Linked DNA regions of Caenorhabditis elegans. The protein of the gene in region 1 interacts with the protein of each later gene in a pairwise test. Each region holds a gene or a part of one and is shown on either strand. Other genes may lie near its edges. The genes, in order: egl-10, gpb-1 and gpb-2.

Evidence for each region.
Region 2: the proteins of egl-10 (region 1) and gpb-1 interact in a two-hybrid assay, tested with the Caenorhabditis elegans proteins (one study listed by BioGRID).
Region 3: the proteins of egl-10 (region 1) and gpb-2 interact in a two-hybrid assay, tested with the Caenorhabditis elegans proteins (one study listed by BioGRID).

Annotation. Positions count from the first base shown.
Region 1 is NC_003283.11:12,456,783-12,464,835, reverse strand, and holds the start of egl-10 (Regulator of G-protein signaling egl-10), read left to right. Parts: upstream 1-2,019; coding exon 2,020-2,039; intron 2,040-4,648; coding exon 4,649-4,854; intron 4,855-4,904; coding exon 4,905-5,063; intron 5,064-5,324; coding exon 5,325-5,466; intron 5,467-5,500; exon of another isoform or gene 5,501-5,639; intron 5,640-6,732; coding exon 6,733-7,134; intron 7,135-7,188; coding exon 7,189-7,341; intron 7,342-7,386; coding exon 7,387-7,521; intron 7,522-7,575; coding exon 7,576-7,894; intron 7,895-8,053.
Region 2 is NC_003280.10:11,742,248-11,749,248, reverse strand, and holds gpb-1 (Guanine nucleotide-binding protein subunit beta-1), read left to right. Parts: upstream 1-1,598; 5' UTR 1,599-1,601; coding exon 1,602-1,658; intron 1,659-2,188; exon of another isoform or gene 2,189-2,326; intron 2,327-3,105; coding exon 3,106-3,219; intron 3,220-3,267; coding exon 3,268-3,363; intron 3,364-3,450; coding exon 3,451-3,529; intron 3,530-3,678; coding exon 3,679-3,829; intron 3,830-4,566; coding exon 4,567-4,696; intron 4,697-4,746; coding exon 4,747-4,818; intron 4,819-4,869; coding exon 4,870-5,086; intron 5,087-5,163; coding exon 5,164-5,270; 3' UTR 5,271-6,438; downstream 6,439-7,001. Other genes in the region: Serine carboxypeptidase ctsa-1.2, read right to left, coding at 6,502-6,681.
Region 3 is NC_003279.8:7,317,692-7,322,955, reverse strand, and holds gpb-2 (Guanine nucleotide-binding protein subunit beta-2), read left to right. Parts: upstream 1-1,870; 5' UTR 1,871-2,007; coding exon 2,008-2,084; intron 2,085-2,131; coding exon 2,132-2,220; intron 2,221-2,768; coding exon 2,769-2,905; intron 2,906-3,000; coding exon 3,001-3,119; intron 3,120-3,351; coding exon 3,352-3,544; intron 3,545-3,587; coding exon 3,588-3,806; intron 3,807-4,098; coding exon 4,099-4,195; intron 4,196-4,297; coding exon 4,298-4,476; 3' UTR 4,477-4,666; downstream 4,667-5,264. Other genes in the region: F52A8.3 (uncharacterized protein), read left to right, coding at 41-198, 361-626; F52A8.1 (DUF2650 domain-containing protein), read right to left, coding at 4,907-4,996, 5,066-5,264. UniProt on the Caenorhabditis elegans protein: Guanine nucleotide-binding proteins (G proteins) are involved as a modulator or transducer in various transmembrane signaling systems.

The DNA.
Region 1 (8,053 bases):
TGAGTTTTAAATATTGTAGTTTTCTAGAATAGAAACGCCATCGAATATATAATATGTTGCTTCCGTAGTCTCGACAGTATTTTTTCTAATAGTACTACACACAATTTCTCAAGTTTGGCAGCTTATATCTCAGCTGTTGTTTGTTTTATTAAAAAATTGTTAACTGAAAAATATGTTTTATTTCATTTTCAATTGTTTTTGTATTTGCATTTTTATTAAATGAGCCACAATTAAAACTTTCAGAGTGATGTAGTGGGGTGCAATATTAATAGAAGAGATACAGTATCTATTTTTCATCAAACCTGAAAAACGCAGTTTTCTATTTCCTTAATCAACATTAAAACTAGAGTAAGATAAAGCATGAAAATTTTTTAAAAGAACTAGGTATACCATGAGATATTCCCCGATCCGTTTTTTTTGACTTCACCAACGAAAATGAGTTGTAATTGTAAAATCTTGTAATATAAACGTACTTTTCATACATCATCAAACTAAATATTCCATGTCATAGATTTGTTTATAAACCTAGTTCGTCATCTAGCAAATCCAGGAATAAATCCACAAATAAATCAAAGAACGAAAGCTTCTTTTTAATCTCATTATCTTTTTTCTTTACATTTCTATTCTTTTCTGTCTAGAAATACGAATCCACTTTAATTAAACTTTTACCAACGACTACGGTATCGCTATTTTATCACTTTTTGTTCGAATCAAATAAATAGTTTGCCATGTCACAAGCCTCTCATTTCAAGTTTTCATGCACATTTCTCGGTATGCTTCTTTGGTTTTGAAAATCATCTTTCTTTAAAATATAAAAATCCTTATAATTTTGAACACTTAAATCAGTTTGTGCACCAAAAATTAAAGTTCAGTGAAGTCTAGGAAATTTCTTTTTTTCTGATCGGTTTTTTTCGTTGAAACTCCCTCCTTTGTCTTTATGATATAGTTATAGAATTTCAGATGAGTTCTTTTCAATATTTTCTAGTTTTCCTTTTGATCTTACAATGCACTGGAATTATATTTTATATTATGAAACAGATCTTTAAAAAATACTTCTTAGTGAGAAAAATACAATTTTCTCGATGTTCTAAACATTTGAGGTTTGAAGAACTTAGAAGTTAGACTTTAAAAAATATATTTTACGATTTTAACTGCATACATTTCTTGATTATTCGTTTCCTAACAAAGATATTCACATAATGCAATGCGAATTATCAGTATGCAGTCCTGTAATTAGTGGAAATTCATCCGCTTATCATCTTTCTTATACCATTCATCAGCTTATTTCCAGCTCTTTTTCAATTCATTTTACCCTTTTCTCTTTCTCTCTTTTTCAATGTGTATATGTATTCGATTCGTGTCTCGAATTTCATCCTCTTTCTACTTCTTCTCTTTTTCTTTCTTTCTTTTTGTCTCTCTCTCTCTCTCTCTCTCTCTCTCTCTCTCTCTCTCTCTCTCTCTCTCTCTCTCTCTCTCTCTCTCTCTCTCTCTCTCTCTCTCTCTCTCTCTCTCTCTCTCTCTCTCTCTCTCTCTCTCTCTCTCTCTCTCTCTCTCTCTCTCTCTCTCTCTCTCTCTCTCTCTCTCTCTCTCTCTCTCTCTCTCTCTATTTTTTCATTGGCACACTCGCACTCTCTCGACTCTCACTCACACGCTCACTCACCATCACGCTCACTCTGGGCCCTATACGTGATGTGCGCGTCTCCTTTTCCTTGTCGTTTTCTTTTCCTTATTCTTTTTCTTATACTGCCTTCTCATCTTAATATTTTCATGCTCTTTTTGCTCTTTTGTACGACATACAATTCATATATGCTCAACTCATCTTTGCAGACTTTTGTGGCTCAACACCTCGTTTCTTTTGCACCCGAACCGCACCCACGGTAACACGGATTCTGCGAGGAATGAAGGAGTAGAAGATAACGGGACATTCCCTTGTGTCAAAGTGAGAGCCAACGACGACGATCCTAAGAAGTATAAACTTGGAAGAGTATTCACAAAAGTCTTGAAGACTAAAGCTTCACAATGGCTCTACCAAGATTGAGGTTAGATTCACTTCATCTTCAAAAAAAACAGCAAAATATATTATGTTTTTAATTCTATATATTTCAAACAAAAAACGTTTAAAGATTAGTACCCAAACAAATTATTTATTCTAAAAATACAAAGAGGTTTTTTTTTTTTGAAAAGTTGTAATAAAAAAGTTTTTGTACTTTCAAAATTTCCTGTAAACTAATGAGTGAAATGATCTCGAGCAATAGTTTTTTTAAAGTTTATTTGACTGGAACGGTTTTGGGTCTTGTGAACAAGCAACTCATTACTTCATATTCATACATCTCCATTCAAATTTAATACTATTCAGTGTTAAAAAATTAATCTCGATTATCACCATGTTCAACTATCGATAGGCATTTCAATGAGATGTGAAAAGTTCTATAGAACAATGTAGAGTCTCATGATTTTTTTAATATGCAAAATAAAAACATTTGGAAAAATTGAAACTTCCGGGTTACTATATGCAAACTGTTATCATTGTAGTAATACTGCTGCGTGCTTTGAATAGTAAGTTTTTTTGCTAATTTTTGAAAAATATATTATTTTAGAAAACTTTTCAAACACTTTTAAATTTTTTTATTTACTGTTAAAAAGTAGCGATCACTCAGTTTTTTTCTTTAAATTGTTTTAATGCTCTAATTAGGCTTCAAATTCAAATTTTCACACTGTAGGGGCTGGAATATGCGACGTTGCTTTTTTCAAAAAGTCTGAAATATTTAATAAATTTGACAATCCACCTAAATTGACTTAAATTATTTGATTGATGGAAAAGTATTTATTCTTAAATTTTTTAACAGCAAAAAATAAATTTTCCTGCGGCCATTAATTTGTTGGCAGTCACATCCAGCTTTCCAAAAAAAACAACGAGGAAAATAATGAAAATCTGCACTAAAAAGTATGTTTAAAAATGTGGATTACGAACTTATCATTGAAATTTCTCGAGCTATGCATATATTTTGGCTGCCTTGATTAAAAGTACTGTAGGTCCCCTATTTACTTTTGAAGCTTATTGGTTCTAGTTGAGGTAATTTTGTCATTAAAAAACTATTGCGTAGTTCATTTCCATTCATTCGTGAATATTCTTTATTTATCTATTCGTTTTCTATGTATATGAAAATCACCGAAAATTTAGGCAATTCGTTCTTTTTTTTTTGTTTCTTTCAATGTTGCAATGTCAGTTGCTAGGTCGTCGAGAGCATTTTTTGTGCGGATGCTACTCAGCCAATTTGTCGTTCATCCGTCGCCCGGCACTAGTACTAAACACAAATTCTCATTTACATACAAACGTTTGGAGAATACGATTTAGTGGAGAAAAGCTCGTAGTCTTAGCCTTTTTCTACGCCCAAGAAAATTTTTGTAGGCTACTGCCCAATGCTTTAATCTTGCTTTCTTTTTGTGGTTTACGAAATACAAAATTCTGTAAATCCTGTAAAGGGCGGGTGAGAAGAGGCCAAGACATTGTGTCTTCTGATTTATTTTCATTCATTTTCTAAGCTTTGTCGTAGTGTGTTCAAGAAAAGATGCTACTTTCCAACTGGTAAGTCAGTGATTTTTCTTAAATATTCACATGGACATAGTGTTGCGTCAGAACCAATTTGTGATGATTGACAGAACCAAGAGCTACAACTTCCGTGAAAAATAGAAAAAAAACATGAAAACTCTGAAAATGTAGAGCGTTTTTCCATCTTGCCAAAAGTCCCAGAAGTCCTACTAAAAATCACGTGAAGTGGAGATGGGGTGCCTTCATGGGTTCAAACAAAAAAGAACAGAGAAAACGAGAAGGGCTGTAATATTTTATGTTCCTCATCCTTCTCTTTCTTCGTTTTTTCTTCTGTTTTCTTGTTGTTGTTGTCATCCGTGTGTATATTCTTTCCGCCAAGCTTGCCCGCAGCTTTTTAGAGGTTTTTTTTCGGGAAAGCTTTTTCTCTCTGTTCTTTGTGTTTTTTCCTTTCACTACATAACCAATGCAGATGTTTTGATGTTCTTCGAGAAGGAAAACTTCAGATAGGAATAGGGATAGGGAAAAAGATATGCATTGCGAAATGTAAGTGCGCCATAGAAAATAGTTAGATATTTTTGATGGTTGGTTGGAAAGAATTCAATTTGATAACATTGATCCTTATTTTTCATTTATCATGTTCCACCTTTTAAAAATTGTTACTTATAGCTTCACACTTACTAAAACTACAGCTTAAAAGCTTCAATCAAATCCATGTTGATTATTTACCAGTCAAACTGATTTTTTTTTCATTTTTTAAATAAGCTGCCAAAATGGAGCATTTGGAAACAACTATACATATATGAAATTTAAAATGTGCATATGACTATATTCCTGGACGATATCAATTTTTTTTCATGAAATCATCTGAAAACAGCTGTCAAATTCAAATTTAGTGAAGTGGATTTTTTTGAAAAAAATATATGAAAAATATTTGCAAATGTTATGACGTTTTGAGTAGTGACATCACTTCCCAAGTGCATCTCAAAAGTAATTGATGCATATAAAACACGAAACATTGTATTATTACTGAAACTTGAGATGTATCATAACTAGGGAAAACCTTACATTGATTCCAAATAATACGTGACGGGTTTACAGGGTAAATGCAAGCAACGAGGAGCGTCTTGTACATCCAAACCACATGGTGTACCGTAAGATGGAGATGCTTGTCAATCAAATGCTTGATGCAGAAGCTGGTGTTCCAATCAAGACTGTCAAGAGTTTTCTGTCAAAAGTTCCATCTGTATTCACCGGACAAGATCTGATTGGATGGATCATGAAAAATCTTGAGATGACTGATCTTTGTAAGTTGCCGCAAATATTTTGTATCGAGAATCAGAAAAATCAATTTCAGCGGATGCCCTTCATCTGGCTCATCTGATCGCGTCACACGGTTATCTTTTCCAAATTGACGATCATGTGTTAACGGTTAAAAACGATGGAACATTCTATCGGTTTCAAACTCCATACTTTTGGCCGTCAAATTGTTGGGATCCGGAAAATACTGATTACGGTGATTCTTGATTTTTTGAAGCTGAAATTAGTATCATGTTTTGTTCATGAAAAGTATTTGCTATTATTTTCAGGATCTTTGTGAGATGTTGGGCAGTTTTAGACAATTCTCATGTGATTGAAAACTCAGAGTTTGAAAACTAGTTTAATAGAATCCATTTAGCTACAATTTTAAAGTTTTTCAATAACATAAAATCAAACCATGCTGAAAACTGCTGAGAAAGCTGAGAAAGCAAAATTTTGCAAAAGCAAATATTTTCAGCGGTGTACCTGTGCAAGCGGACAATGCAGAACAAAGCGCATTTGGAACTGGAGGACTTTGAAGCGGAGAACCTGGCAAAGCTGCAGAAGATGTTCTCGCGCAAGTGGGAATTTGTGTTCATGCAAGCCGAAGCTCAATACAAGTTTGTGATATTCTCTTCTCTCTTTGCTGCATTCCGCGTGTATATATTTTTTCTCGTTCGTCGTCTTTTCGGGCGCTCGTGCTAGTTTGCAGTGCATAGCTTCTCAGTTTCCACCAACTCATCCACTTACATTGTGTGAATGCGTGAATGACGTCAAGAACGGGGAAAAGGGAAAGAAAACGAGCAAGGCAGTGGGCTCGTATCAATTTTTGACAAAAAAGGGTTTGAGAGAAGAAAAGTTCATTTTCCAAAAACAATGAAATATAAATTAGTGGGATTTAATCCTCTAAAAAATTGTATGTTTTCTTTTTCAATATGTGAATCGGAACCAGCAGAAAGTCCGGTAAAGATGTCAAAATTCATGTTTTATCAAATTTACTCGTTTTTTGAACATTCAAGTCACAACTGATAGTGATTGGGGATATCAACCAAACCTCAATCAACAACCTATTTCCATAACCTTTCTGAACACATCATTTCGGGGAAAAAACTAAAATTTTATGTGGGTGTAGTTTCTGATGACGTTATCTCTTTCTTCCGCTATTACCGATTTTCACCCAAATAAAGGGCCTGCTGTTTTATTTTTCATCTTTCGAGTTTTTTTCGAGAAGAAGAGCAAAGCACTTTTGTTGAGAATCGGTCGGACGGTGGTGAGAAGAGAAGAAGATGGATGTGAATGTGATGGAATGGAGGCGCCGAGCCAATCCAAGTAAATTGGAAAAATCGACGGCGCCGGGAGTCGGAAATAATGATGATGAAGACGTAAAAGAAGGGGTGTAGATAGATCGAGAGTAAGGAAGAATAAGAAAAAAACAGAAGAAGAAGAAGGCGTGCTTTCCCCTTTGGATTAGATGCAAAAAATCGGCGGGAGCTCATTCCATTCCTCCGTACTTTTACTACAACTTCCTCCACATTCCTAAAATTCTTCTAATCTTCTGACCATCAGTATTGTGTTTTGCTCCTGCCCAAAGATGGGTGGTTTTCGAAGACTTCGTCATTTATTTTTTAAAAAGACTCCAGATGAAAAAGAAAATAAAAGATCGTCAACTGACGAACAAAAGTGGGTTCACAATAATCATATTTTGAATTGAAGGAAACAAATCTCAAACATTATACTTATTTTAATTGAAAAAAAAAGAACCACTGTCTTGCAAAACTTCTTTCTTTATCTATTCTTGATCTTGCAAGTTCTAGCCCATACTAATTAGTGAGCGTTGCGCGTGTTTTATCAGGCATTCTACGCAACAATAAATCCAGGACACTCAGGGTCGACAAGAAGCGAGATCGCCAGGAGCGCCAAATTCTTGACAGTCAGGAACGTGCTTTCTGGGATGTTCATCGTCCAGTGCCAGGATGTGTAAACACTACAGAAGTCGACTTCCGGAAGCTTTCACGGTCTGGAAGGCCCAAGTACAGTAGTGGAGGACACGCAGCATTGGCCGCTTCAACGTCGGGTATCGGTTGCACTCAGTATTCACAAAGTGTGGCAGCAGCTCATGCGAGTCTTCCATCAACATCAAATGGGAGTGCAACATCTCCAAGAAAGAACGATCAGGAGCCATCAACATCAAGTGGGGGTGAATCTCCATCAACATCGTCTGCTGCTGCTGGAACTGCCACAACATCTGCACCATCAACATCAACGCCTCCGGTGACAACTATTACTGCGTAAGTTAAAATTTTCAATTTTCAGATATAAATTCTTTATTTGAAAATTTTCAGAACGATAAATGCAGGATCATTCCGAAATAACTATTACACAAGACCTGGATTACGGCGGTGTACACAAGTACAGGATACGTTAAAACTGGAAATTGTGCAATTGAATAGTCGATTATCAAAAAATGTATTACGTACATCTAAAGTTGTAGAAAAGTAAGCTTTAATAGATTATTTTTAAAAGATCAATATTGTTTTCAGTTATTTGGCATATTACGAACAACGTCGAGTATTTGATCCACTGTTAACGCCTCCTGGATCTCAGGCTGATCCTTTTCAATCACAGCCTAATCCATGGATTAACGATACTGTTGATTTTTGGCAACATGATAAAATGTGAGTTTCTAGAGTTTTTTTGCCGAATGTCACGTTTCAACTAAAAATTTTCAGTACGGGAGACATCCAAACCCGCCGACTCAAGCTTTGGGAGGATAGTTTTGAAGAATTACTTGCTGATTCATTAGGTCGAGAAACTCTTCAAAAATTCCTTGACAAAGAATATTCTGGAGAAAACTTGCGGTTTTGGTGGGAGGTACAAAAGCTGCGAAAGTGCAGTTCAAGAATGGTTCCAGTTATGGTAACAGAGATTTACAACGAGTTTATCGATACAAATGCGGCAACGTCGCCGGTCAATGTGGATTGTAAAGTGATGGAAGTGACCGAAGACAATTTAAAGAATCCAAATCGGTGGAGTTTTGATGAAGCAGCGGTGAGTATTACATTATAGTGAGCAGTTCGGGGATGGGAAAATATCATTTTCGGCAAATCTACAATTGAACTTTTTTGACATGGCGTTCCAATATTTTTCATTGAAATGTGGAGCAAGAGTATAGAAAAATATATTCGAATTATTAGAAAAAATAGTTTG
Region 2 (7,001 bases), on another chromosome or scaffold:
CCACGTCACATCAAAGCCATTAATCTTCGATGGCAGTCTGGCTCGGTCAAAATTGGCCTATTTTTGTCTGAGAACTTTGTACAATTTTATTGGTTAAAAATGCTCGCACCACCTGCTGGAGGGCACCAGATGTCCCCTCGCCCAAAGCAATTAGAATTCTGCATTTAGCAAACAAAAGTTGAATCAATAATTCGCAGATCCAATGGTAGGAGAGAGAAAGAGTGAGCCGCGCCTTCTTCGCACAGATATATATTAGCTTTTGTCACGTTTTGCGCTCCTACCTGGGAGAGCCCAAGGTATTTGAACACGGAGAGCAATATGTTCCCTCAAAACTCAAATACCTGTGCCCCATCATTTCCTTCCTTAATTCCCTCATTTCATTCGACATTTGTGGTATTCAGTTTCTTTTCTTTCTTTTTTGTCATTGTTTTGTTCTTCCGCGCCACACACACACACACAGACCAACACTTTTACATTTTTTCCCGCCCGCTCCCCTTTTCCATCCCGCTTGGTCTGCGTCTCAAGGTTTGGTTTCTTTCTCGTACAGTGTTCCGCTCTCACGCCAGTTTCTGAATCGATCTATTGATTTTTTGAAAGTTAAAAATTTTGCTTAAAATTTCTGAAGCTTATGATTTTGGTTTGCAGACCGTCATTCTGTACTTCCTGATCAGCAGCTTGGTCTCACCGTCTTTGCCAAGTTGACGTCGGTCGAGGGGTTTTAATTAAAAGGGTTAGTGATATAGATTTCTTTCTAGTAGGTTTTTCATGTTTTGATCAAAAACATACCTTTAGTTTATTCTTATTTTATTATCTCACCTATAGGGATCCCTAGAGCTAATAATCTACTTCCAAAGTTCCTCTCTAAAGAATTAAATATTTTCCCGTCTAGTTATCGATTTTAGAATCGAACTATTTTATTAGATAAGTAAGACCAAAATGTGTTGTTTTTTCAAATATAGAATTCTGGAATCACTTATTTTTAAATTGAAAAAAATCCATTTTTTTCAAATTTTTGATTTTTACATAAATTACTTGATTACAATGAAACAATCAATAATTTTCTTCATTTTTTGATTGGTTTTCGCATTGAATATTCAATTTAAAACTTATTAATTAATTAATTAAATAAAAACAAAAAACATTGCGCGGCAATTAGCATGTGCTGGCCTACCGTAGTTTCTGCAAACACCGTGACGTCAATATGCACACTGTTGTTTTTCTTTGATTTTCTTTCCTTTTTTGACCTTTTTATCTTATTTTTTCTTATTTTCTCCACAGAAAATCTCTAAAAGCTTCGAAAACTTGAATTATTTTAACGATAAATTTAATTCCTTCATGAAAATAATCAAATTCTTGGAAAAAATCGATTTTTTCTGCTATTTCCTTCAAACTCTTTTTTTCTATCCAATAATTCTTAATTCACGCTTTTTTTTGCAGGCCCAGTTGTCGAGTGCAAGAACAAAGGCCACGAAGACGACGAATAGAGCAGCGCCGCCGTCGAAAACGCGAACACCGACCAGGAGCAGCATTAGCCGCAGCCGCATCCGTCGACACTTCCATCAGTACCATCCTCCGGAGCACGCACCACCACCAGCAGCAAGATGAGCGAACTTGACCAACTTCGACAGGAGGCTGAACAGCTGAAGTCGCAGATTCGGGTGAGTAAATCTGTGTTTTTTTTTATTTTTTAAAATATTTTTTAAACTAATAATTGCAGTAATCTCTCGTTCCAGAGCATGGTCTAGCAATTGTTTGAATATGCGAAATATGAGAAATACACGCATTTATATATTTATACACACACATATACACACATACATATACAAATTGTTGGTAATAAGTAAAGCGCTCCCCTTCCAACGATGCCGCCGCCGCCGCCATCGGCGTTGTTTTTGCGCCGTACTTGAGGGGACGTGCTGCTGCACTGGATGTGTATAACACGATGGTCGTCGTCCCCCAGCCGTCGTCGTCTTCTTTTCTTCTTCTTCTACCCGCCATCGCCGCTGCAAAATATCGATCAGTAGCAGAAGTTGTTGCTCCACACACGCAGGCCGCGGCGAGCCATTGGCCGAGATGGGGTCGCCCCTGGTGGGGGCACTGAGACGAGGAGAAGCTGGAGCAGCAGCAGAAGCAGCGAGCGAGCGAGGAGAATAGATTGGCTGCCTAATGTGAGATTGTCGGCGTCTCCGGCTCTTGTTCCACTATTTTCCCGGGGCCCCGCCGCCGAATGCTCTCAATTTCTGCCGCTACTGCTGGCCAAGAGCACGAGAGAGAGAGAGAGAGATCTCTCGCAGTCTCTCTTCTGCGCAAGCTCCACTCGTGTCGTAGTGCGCCATTCTCCCTTGAGGACTCTGCTGCCGTCGTCGTCGTCGTTGTCGTTGTCATCGCGTCGCTCACTAGAATTGGTGGTAGCTCCTGCTCCGACGAGCACTCACACACACACACATGGTTGTGCGTGTGCGCGAGCACAAAATGTTGCGCGGGGTTTGGTGAAGCTCTCGTGGTGCTGAAAACGGGGTGAGCTGGCCTGGAGCGAGGAGGGGCAGCAGAGATAGAAAATACACTGAATTGGTGTTAATTAAATGCACAAAACATTTATGGAAGTGGAAGATTTTTCGCTTCAAAAATACAGTCCCCGGTCTCGAAGCGACAAATTTTTGTGAAAAGATTACTGTAATTTCAAATTCGGGAATTTTCAGCAATTTTCCATATTATGTGGACGTCTAAAAATGAGAGGTTCTGATCCCCCATGTCGATTTACGGGGCACTATTGCATCATCTCAAACTGTCCATTTAATGTGTTTAATGTATGCAAAAATATGTAATAACAGCCCGTAAATCGACAATTCGTGGCGAGACTCATGTGGCAAAAAACCTCATATATATCCGTCTAGATAATAGTTTTTCTCTCGATTTTATAAAAATTTATGTTTTTTAGTTGAAAACTATGAAAAATCGATGAAAATTCCTAGAGTGGAAATTACAGTAATTTTTATAAAAATTTAAGGCCCGAATTTACAGATTTTGAAGTAAAAAGTTGTAAAAACCAATAATTTGAAGTTTTTCATAATTAAAAAAAAAACAAAATAAATTAATTTTTTGCAGGAAGCCCGGAAATCAGCAAATGACACAACACTGGCCACCGTCGCTTCAAATCTGGAGCCAATTGGCCGCATTCAGATGAGGACGAGACGTACGCTTAGGGGACATTTAGCCAAGGTAGGGCTTTCAGACTTTTTCTAGTCATAAAATCGATAAATTTTGCAGATTTATGCAATGCACTGGGCATCAGACAGTCGCAATTTGGTGTCAGCTTCACAAGACGGAAAGCTCATCGTTTGGGACTCGTACACCACAAATAAAGTGAGTTTTTTTTGACGATTTTCAATTGTTTTTTTTTTGATAAAAAAAGAAAAAATTTAAAGAAATTAATTTGCATTTTTTTTCCAGGTTCATGCAATTCCCTTGAGATCATCGTGGGTGATGACTTGTGCCTATGCTCCATCGGGATCGTTTGTCGCTTGTGGAGGTAAGCTGAAGGATTACTCATTGTATTCAAATTTTCCGGAGAGATTACTGGGAAATCTGGGTTTCTATTGAGAATTTGAATCTCGTAAATCTACACGAGCAAAATTCAAATTTTTTAAAATAAAAAGTAACAATTCTCAATTTTTCCAGGTCTCGACAACATTTGCTCAATTTACTCGCTGAAAACACGCGAGGGAAACGTGCGGGTGTCTCGTGAGCTTCCAGGACATACTGGATACTTGTCGTGTTGTCGATTCCTTGATGACAACCAAATTGTCACCTCTTCCGGAGATATGACTTGGTGGGTTTTTTTTTTGAAAAATTTCATTTTTTTTAATTAAAGAAAAATCCTATAAAAAATCATAAATTATCAACTAGTTTCTACTTTTCATTTTTTTTTTTCCGCGTAATTTGAGCATCAGTGTATAGCCAGAGCACACAAAAGTAGAAGAAGTGCGAAGGAGAAATTCGGATGTTGAATGTTGATGAGTTTGTTTTCAAACTGGGCTCTTTTTGTGCCGCTTGATGAAATTGAGGTGGAGAGAAGCAAAGAACGTGTGAATAAAAGACAGAAAGAGCACAAAAGTCGGCCCGCGAAAAATGTAAATTTTCGGACTTCAAAATTTTACAAGTCTATTGTTAAATTGTGATCTCTAGACGTGTAGTTTGTACTTTGAAAAGTTTAAAAAAATTCCAGTTTGAAAATGTAAGAAAGATTTCAGATAACTTCCAAAATTTATCTCGTGATTCTGCAAAATTTCAGATTTTTTAAAGCCACACGCTATTTTCCGATTGGGTCTCGCCACGAAAAAAAAAGAAGTTTGTAAAGTTTCAAATTCTAAAGTGCAAATTGCATTTTAGAGTTTAAAATTTCATTTTCTACACCAAATTAACAAATCTGAGAAATTTGGCGCCTGTAGCGGCCACTATGATCGTGGCGAGACCCACTTTTCAAACCGGCATGTGCCTTTAACCTCTACCATATCATATAATATCACTTTTTCGTAAATTATCCTAATTCTCCAATTTTTTTTCCAGCGCTCTATGGGACATTGAAACCGGACAACAGTGCACCGCGTTCACCGGTCACACTGGTGACGTCATGTCGCTTTCACTTTCTCCAGACTTCCGCACATTCATCTCAGGAGCCTGTGACGCTTCGGCGAAGGTATAGGATTTTTGAAAAGTTGATTTTTTTTTAAATTTTTTAAATTTCAGTTGTGGGATATCCGAGACGGCATGTGCAAGCAAACGTTCCCAGGACACGAGTCAGACATCAACGCTGTTGCCGTAAGTTTTATTATTTTGAAGATTTTTCAAAAAAAAATCAATTTTTTGCAGTTCTTCCCATCCGGAAACGCGTTCGCCACCGGATCCGACGATGCGACATGCCGATTGTTCGACATTCGTGCTGATCAGGAACTTGCCATGTATTCTCATGATAATATTATTTGCGGAATCACTAGTGTCGCATTCTCAAAATCGGGTCGCCTGTTGTTCGCCGGATACGACGACTTCAACTGCAATGTTTGGGATTCGATGCGACAGGAGAGAGCTGGTGAGTGCCTTTAGCTCCTTTTTTTGAAATTTTCCAAGTTGAAAGTGATGAAAAACTAATTGTTCTTCCAATTTCAGGAGTATTGGCTGGTCACGATAACCGAGTTTCTTGTCTAGGAGTCACCGAGGACGGTATGGCCGTGTGCACAGGATCATGGGACTCGTTCCTCAAGATCTGGAATTAAGAAACATCAAATGTCTTCCTTAATTATTCTCCAATTATTGATTGAATGATGATGACACTACGTGGCAATTTTTTTCCCCATTTTCCCCAATTTTTTTCCGCTCTTGAAACCCCCCTGTTGTTCTCATTCTTTCGTCGCTATCCGCTATCCCGGCGCCCTCTTCCGCGTGCCCGGATCTCTTTTTCTTCTCTCACCTCTTCTCATCGCTTTTTGTTCGGTACTTTCTAGTCTCTCTTCAATCGCCCTCCCCATATTACTTTCCTTGACGTTTGTTCGAATTTTCTCATCAATTTTTTTTACTATGTGAAAATTATTATTATAGCAATTCTCAACTCTCTCTCTCTCATTTATTTTTATTTCACATTTTCTGTGTCTCCCCGCCCCCCGCGAAGCTTAATCTTTCTTCCTCTTTCACCACTCACTTTAGTCACAGACACATACACATGCGCGCGCTCTCTTTCTCTCCCCGATCGTATTCTACTAACATGATATTCATGCTACGACAAAAAATTTTATATATATGTAAGACAAATTTGTGCTCGGCGAGCAAGATATACAGTGATGGAGCCACGCGCGCGGAGTACAATTTTGAAATCGAAAAGCGAACGCCACGCGCATCACTAATCCTAAAACCCCCACATCAAGAAAAGCACAATATGAGATCCATTCTAATTATTATTTCCTCCCGATATATAATTATTTAAGCTTCTTTTTTTCTCTATTTCTGGTATCATCTTCTCTCATTTCTCGTCTTCTACACTAATTTAATTGACTCCCCCCACAAATCTTCACCTCTTTTTTTTGTCTTCTATGTATCCCATCGATCCCTTTCCAGACCGTTTTCAACTTTTTCACACACACAAAACCCCCTAAGTTTTTTTTTCTAATTTCTTTTAATTCTCCTACCACCGTGATTTTGTAAGTTCTTCCGATCGCAAAATTAAAGATAAAAAAGTTCTCATTTATTCGGATAGCTGCCACTTCTTTTCCTCTCTTCTCCCCCTCAACCCCCCACATCTGTTTAATCCATCACAATTCTTGAAAAATGAACATCCCCCATCCCCCCATCTCTTCTTTTCCCCAAAACACCCAAAAAATCTTATTTCCCTTTTTATTCTTTTTTATTGTTTCAATTTCCAAATTCTTATAAATTGCTGGAACCTTATAACCTCTTGTGAGCTCAGTTTTTCAGACATTTATTTCAAAATTATTATCATTGTTCTCCTAACGATTAGAAGGCCTTGTTGAACAGGAACGATTGGATGATGTGCTCGGCGACGGCTGGCTTGTCGGTTGGTACCATGTGTCCGGCTCCGCGAACAGTGGCGAATGTCACCTGGGATCCCTTGTACTGTGTCACGTATCCACCGATTTGACCCTTCACAGTGAAGTGGGTCTTCTTCTTGGAGAGCTGGAAATTAAATTATGGAATTTTTACAAAACATTAAAAATCTTGGGTCTCGCAGCGATTGAGAGCTTATTGTTTAAAAATACGGTACCCGGTGTCTCGACACGACAATTTTTATGAATGCAAAACGATGTGCGCCTTTAAAGAGTAATATTTTCAAAAAAATAATTTTCGATGAAAAATCCGCAGCAACGGAAGTTTGAAACTACAGTACTCTTTAAAGGCGCACAGCTTCGCTCATTCAACAAAAATTTATCGTGTCGAGACCCGGCGCCGTATTGTTTGGAAAAACTTTGGGTCTGGATAATATATAGATATCTTTT
Region 3 (5,264 bases), on another chromosome or scaffold:
GAGCAATTGGTACGTATCACTGTAGGGGTTCTTGTTGCAGTGACGATTTTTGGTATGCCGGAAGGATTATTGGTATAATTGTTGGAATATGCCTATTGCTCTTTTGTTGTTGCTTACCATGTGTGTGTATTGCTGGAATTTGGTTCGCTGGATGGTTTGGGCTCAGAGGAAAAAATCAAAGAAAGAATACTCAACAAGGTATTTCAACTTGTCAATTTTAATTTTTCCAGTGGATATATTCTAGACAAAATTGCATTTCAGTTCAATCAAATTTCTTGAATTTCATAGATTTGAGACATTTCTAACTGCTTCACATACAAACTAAAAAATTCAGTAAAAATAGCCAATATTTCAGTTTAGTCTCATCTCCTATCATTGCCCAATCTGCTCCTGTTCCAATTCCTGTCAATTATGATAATATTCCTGGTAATGCTAATTATATTCAACACACTCGTCAAGCTCCACGTCAAATCCACGTGGACTCATCACCAAGAGATTCTGAAATATCTCGTGTCATGGTTCCTGGTGATCAGGTCATGTTCTCTGCTGAAGATCGTTATTATACCTCGTCGACGGCTCCGGCAACTGCTCACCGACCTGATGCCTACAATGTTTCTCGATATTAATTTTTCTGTCTTTCACTTTTTCTGCTTGTATATTACGCTTGAATAAATATTTTGAGTCTTAAAATTATTGGCACTGAAACTACCGGTGTACAAGAAGTGTCTTACAGCTACAGCTAGTCTAGATTTCTGGTTTTAGTGGGGAATTTATTTAAACCACTTCTATAGTGATAACATTGTTAATTATCAATATCATAGTAAAGCTTTTCAGAAAAAAGTTGAATATGTTTATGCGCTGTCGAAAAGTGGTAAATTCTCATTTTCACACATCATAACTCTGCAAGTAGACAGAAAAATATGTTTTATACGAGTTTCCTATTTTTCTTATGCCTTTTTTTATTATAATATTGTAGGTTTTAGAGCATTCCACAATGCTATTCCCTGCGAAGGATAAAGTTGCAAAAATTTGACAATTTTCCATAACTTATTTTTTCAAAAAACCTAAAACGATTGTGGGACTTTTTAAACTGGTTTTACTCAACTTTTAAGCTAACCTAGCACTTTTTTATAATTAATTTCACTTCACAAAAACCATCAAGACATGTGCATTGCCTAATTTTAACTCATCCCGTTCTTCGAGCCACTCTCTTTTCCACATCTCTTCCGTCTCTTTTCATCTTTTTCCCAGAAACCGCGACGCGACCGCATTGCATTCTCTTTCCATTGCAAAAAGGACCGCTCGGCAAAACGAGAAAAGAAATAGAGAAAATAGTGAAGAGGGAGAAGCGAGACATAGCGGAGTAAGGCACGCAAATAGAATTCATTGCACCATGATTTCGGGCCCTCGACGGCTTTTTGTCGTGGCGAATATAGTTTTGTCTTAATCAATACCATCAAATTTATGATAATTTAATGATAATGTAGCCACATCCATCCTATTTTTGAGCATGTTCAACAGAATAACTTTGCAAAAAAGGCTTTTACTTTTATTTTTTATAAACGTTACTTATAAAATGTGTGAAACTCCGATCATTGCAAAACCTTAGGCAAATATAAATTAATAGTAATGGTAGTACGATATTTTGAATTACCTTATCAACATGTTTTTGGTTTAAAATCAAATTCTTTTTACATTGTGCTCGTTTCAATTGTGCCAAACTGTTGTCTAATTTGTTGTTTCAAATAAAAAATTAAAATCCAAAATCATGTAAATGATCTTGATCTTCCTATATATTTCTTACATTTCTAGGCATGTCCTTTAAGAATTTGGCTACTTCAAACTTATTTTTTTAATAGCAATGTTTCAGGAAAAATGTGCCTCTAAACCTCAAACAAACCGCCCATCTCTAATTGTTCTATTCAAATTCATTTTCTTCAACCCTCAGTCTTCTCTTCCTTTTTTTGCATAATTCGTCTTCTGATCTCAAAAAGAAACGCAATTTGAATGAGCACCATTGCTGGAGAATCGTCTTCCTCGTCGAAAATGCCAGAAAACTCTCAGCCAACAACAACCGAAAAAGGGTATTTGTACATTTTACATTACAAAGGGTTACACTACATTATTTCAGATCGGAATATTTAGAACAATTGGCAAATGAAGCCGAAGAGCTTAGAAAGAAATTGGATCAAGAGAGGCACAAGCTTAATGACATTCCTAGTAAGTATTTGAAAAAAATTAAAAAGATAATTTATTAGAATACTTCAATTTAAAAAGAGGGACTTTGAAGAAGAACACTACTAAAAAATTGAACTTTACAATTCCTAGGTTAGAAATCCTCCGGAGTCTTTTTTCTTTGTTTTTTTATTGAAAAAATAAACTTTTGAATTAAAAGCTCACAATCAGTGAGGATATTGAATAAAAATATCAATGCGGTTCTTCATAACCGAATATTATAATTGCCCAAATATCAATACACACCAAAAATTACGTCTAAGTTTTGGTAAATTGTCAAATCTAGGTGAAGTTGGACTTTTTGAGAACTTGTTTGACTGAAAAAAGTTGAAAAAAGTTTTTGAAAACTTTAAAGAAATTTGAGTTAAATAATTTGATGAACAAAAAGATACCAGATATGCTTTGTGATATTTGCATAATTCTAAATGTTTTCTCTTTGACTTTTTTGAGGTTATGCCTAATTTACTATTACCAAGAACTACAGTAATCCCAAAACGCACTAAGTAGTTTTTTACATCCTAAGTAATTTTCAGTTCAACAAGCAGCCGAACGACTTGACGTTATGGGAGCTCTTGGTGTAAAACAGCGTCGAATTTTAAAAGGACACGTGGGAAAAGTATTATGCATGGATTGGTCATTGGATAAAAGACATATCGTCTCTTCATCTCAGGTTGGTTTAAAATATGACTTACAAAAGATTCAGTAGTCTTCAAAAATTGAAACCTCGATTTCTAAAATGAATTTGCTCAAATTAGTAAATTTTAGGACGGGAAAGTGATTGTATGGGATGGATTTACTACGAATAAGGAACATGCTCTTACGATGCCAACAACTTGGGTTATGGCATGTGCATTCTCTCCATCGAGTCAAATGATCGCTTGCGGGTAAGATTTCTTTCAAATACTTCAAAGCTTTCAAAAAATACAAACGGTAGTACACGGACTTATAGTGTTCATGAGAATTTATTGTTTTTTTTTTCAAATTATAAAAGAGCTCTTACAGACGGAATTTTCAAAAATTGGCTCATGTATACTTTACCAATTTTGAAGCTTTCATGTTATTAATTAAAAATTTTTATTATTATTTTTTGAATTTTCAAAAATTCCAATTTTACAGAGGACTTGATAATAAATGCAGTGTCGTTCCACTTTCTTTTGAAGATGATATAATTCAAAAGAAAAGACAAGTAGCAACTCATACTTCTTATATGTCATGTTGTACATTCCTTCGTTCGGATAATCTTATTTTAACTGGAAGTGGAGATTCAACATGTGCTATTTGGGATGTTGAAAGTGGACAACTTATTCAGGTTTTTTATTCTCGCGAATCGGAAACCCAATTCAAAAATTCAGAATTTCCATGGTCATACTGGTGATGTATTTGCAATCGATGTTCCAAAATGTGATACTGGAAATACATTTATTTCCGCAGGAGCTGACAAACATTCTCTTGTATGGGATATTCGTTCAGGACAATGTGTACAATCATTTGAAGGACATGAAGCTGATATTAATACTGTTCGATTTCATCCAAATGGTGATGCATTTGCAACTGGATCTGATGATGCTACTGTAAGTCACAAGTGTTTAAACTTCTTCATTATTGAAAATTGGAGAAGGGATGGGAAATTATGGAAGCCTTGCACGACCATGTGTCGAATTACGCAGCTAGTGTACTCCTCGAGAAGAAGTGACAATATGCCCACTTCTCCTCGGGGAGTACACGAGCTGCGTAAATCGACACATGGCCGTGCAAGAGAATCTTAATTAAATTTCACGGTTATTCTTCCATTTTTCGAAAATTATAGTTTGGGAGAAAGTCGCGAGAGTTGCTTGTTTTGTCTGAAAATATTACTTTTTCCAGTGTCGCTTATTCGATCTTCGAGCAGATCGTCAAGTATGTGTGTATGAAAAAGAATCAATCTTGTTCCCCGTAAATGGAGTCGATTTCAGTTTGAGCGGTACGTTTAAATCTTCACAAAAACGTATAGTCCAAATCAATTCAATGCATCTCTGAAATTCACAGAACTAAACTTTTCACTCTAACTATTAAAAAATTACAGGTCGTATTCTATTTGCTGGTTATGGTGATTATCGTGTCGGTGTATGGGATTCGCTGAAATGCGCCCGTCATTCAGTACTTTATGGACATGAGAATCGTATTAGTTGCCTCCGAACTTCTCCTGATGGAACAGCCGTCTGCTCGGCGAGCTGGGATTGCACAATTCGCATTTGGGCTTGATTATTTAATATTAATTTTTCTCTTACAATTTTTGAGCTTTATGTCACTTTACTCATCCCCCTTCCCACCAGTCTCTATCCCTGTACTATTATCTAACCATCCCACTATTTTCTCCTATCTCAACTTTCTAGTCACAAATACTGTAAAGTACTCGTTCATTGCTGAATGATGTAAATAGAATTCACTAAATACACCTGTTAAAATACAATTCAAAAAGGCAAGGGTGAACTGTGAGGAAAGGAAAATTACATAACAAAAAAGAAAGAAGTGTGGAAAGTAGAGTATTCAATGAGCAACGTATGGCAAATTATCAGAGAATATTAAAAGGAAGAAATTCAGTGAATTGGTTATAAAGAGAAAAGTGGAAATTTTGATAAAACTGTTGCCCCGAAGATTTGATGAAGAAATGTGAAAATTATAAGTCAAATACTTATGCGCAGCAGAAGCATCTGACGCAGTTGATGATGATCGAGAGAATCGTGCAGACGGCAAGGAAGAGAAGAAGAACAGTAACCCAATCCTGAAAGAAACAAATTTAGAAATTAACATATTTAAATTTCAGCAGATCTTTTGAAAAATGAATTATTACCTGAAGACGGAAGCAACACTGATCAGCAATCTGTCCGCAGCACTTGAAGTACCAGAAAACGTTCTCTTCTGGGCAAGCTTGTCCGACAACTGGAAGTGGGCATGCCAATGGACTCCTTCTGATCGTGAGTGGCTCAATCGATTTGACGTAGTCGAGAAGATCATCTCCTTCGGCACTGACTGATGGGGCACAGGCAAGA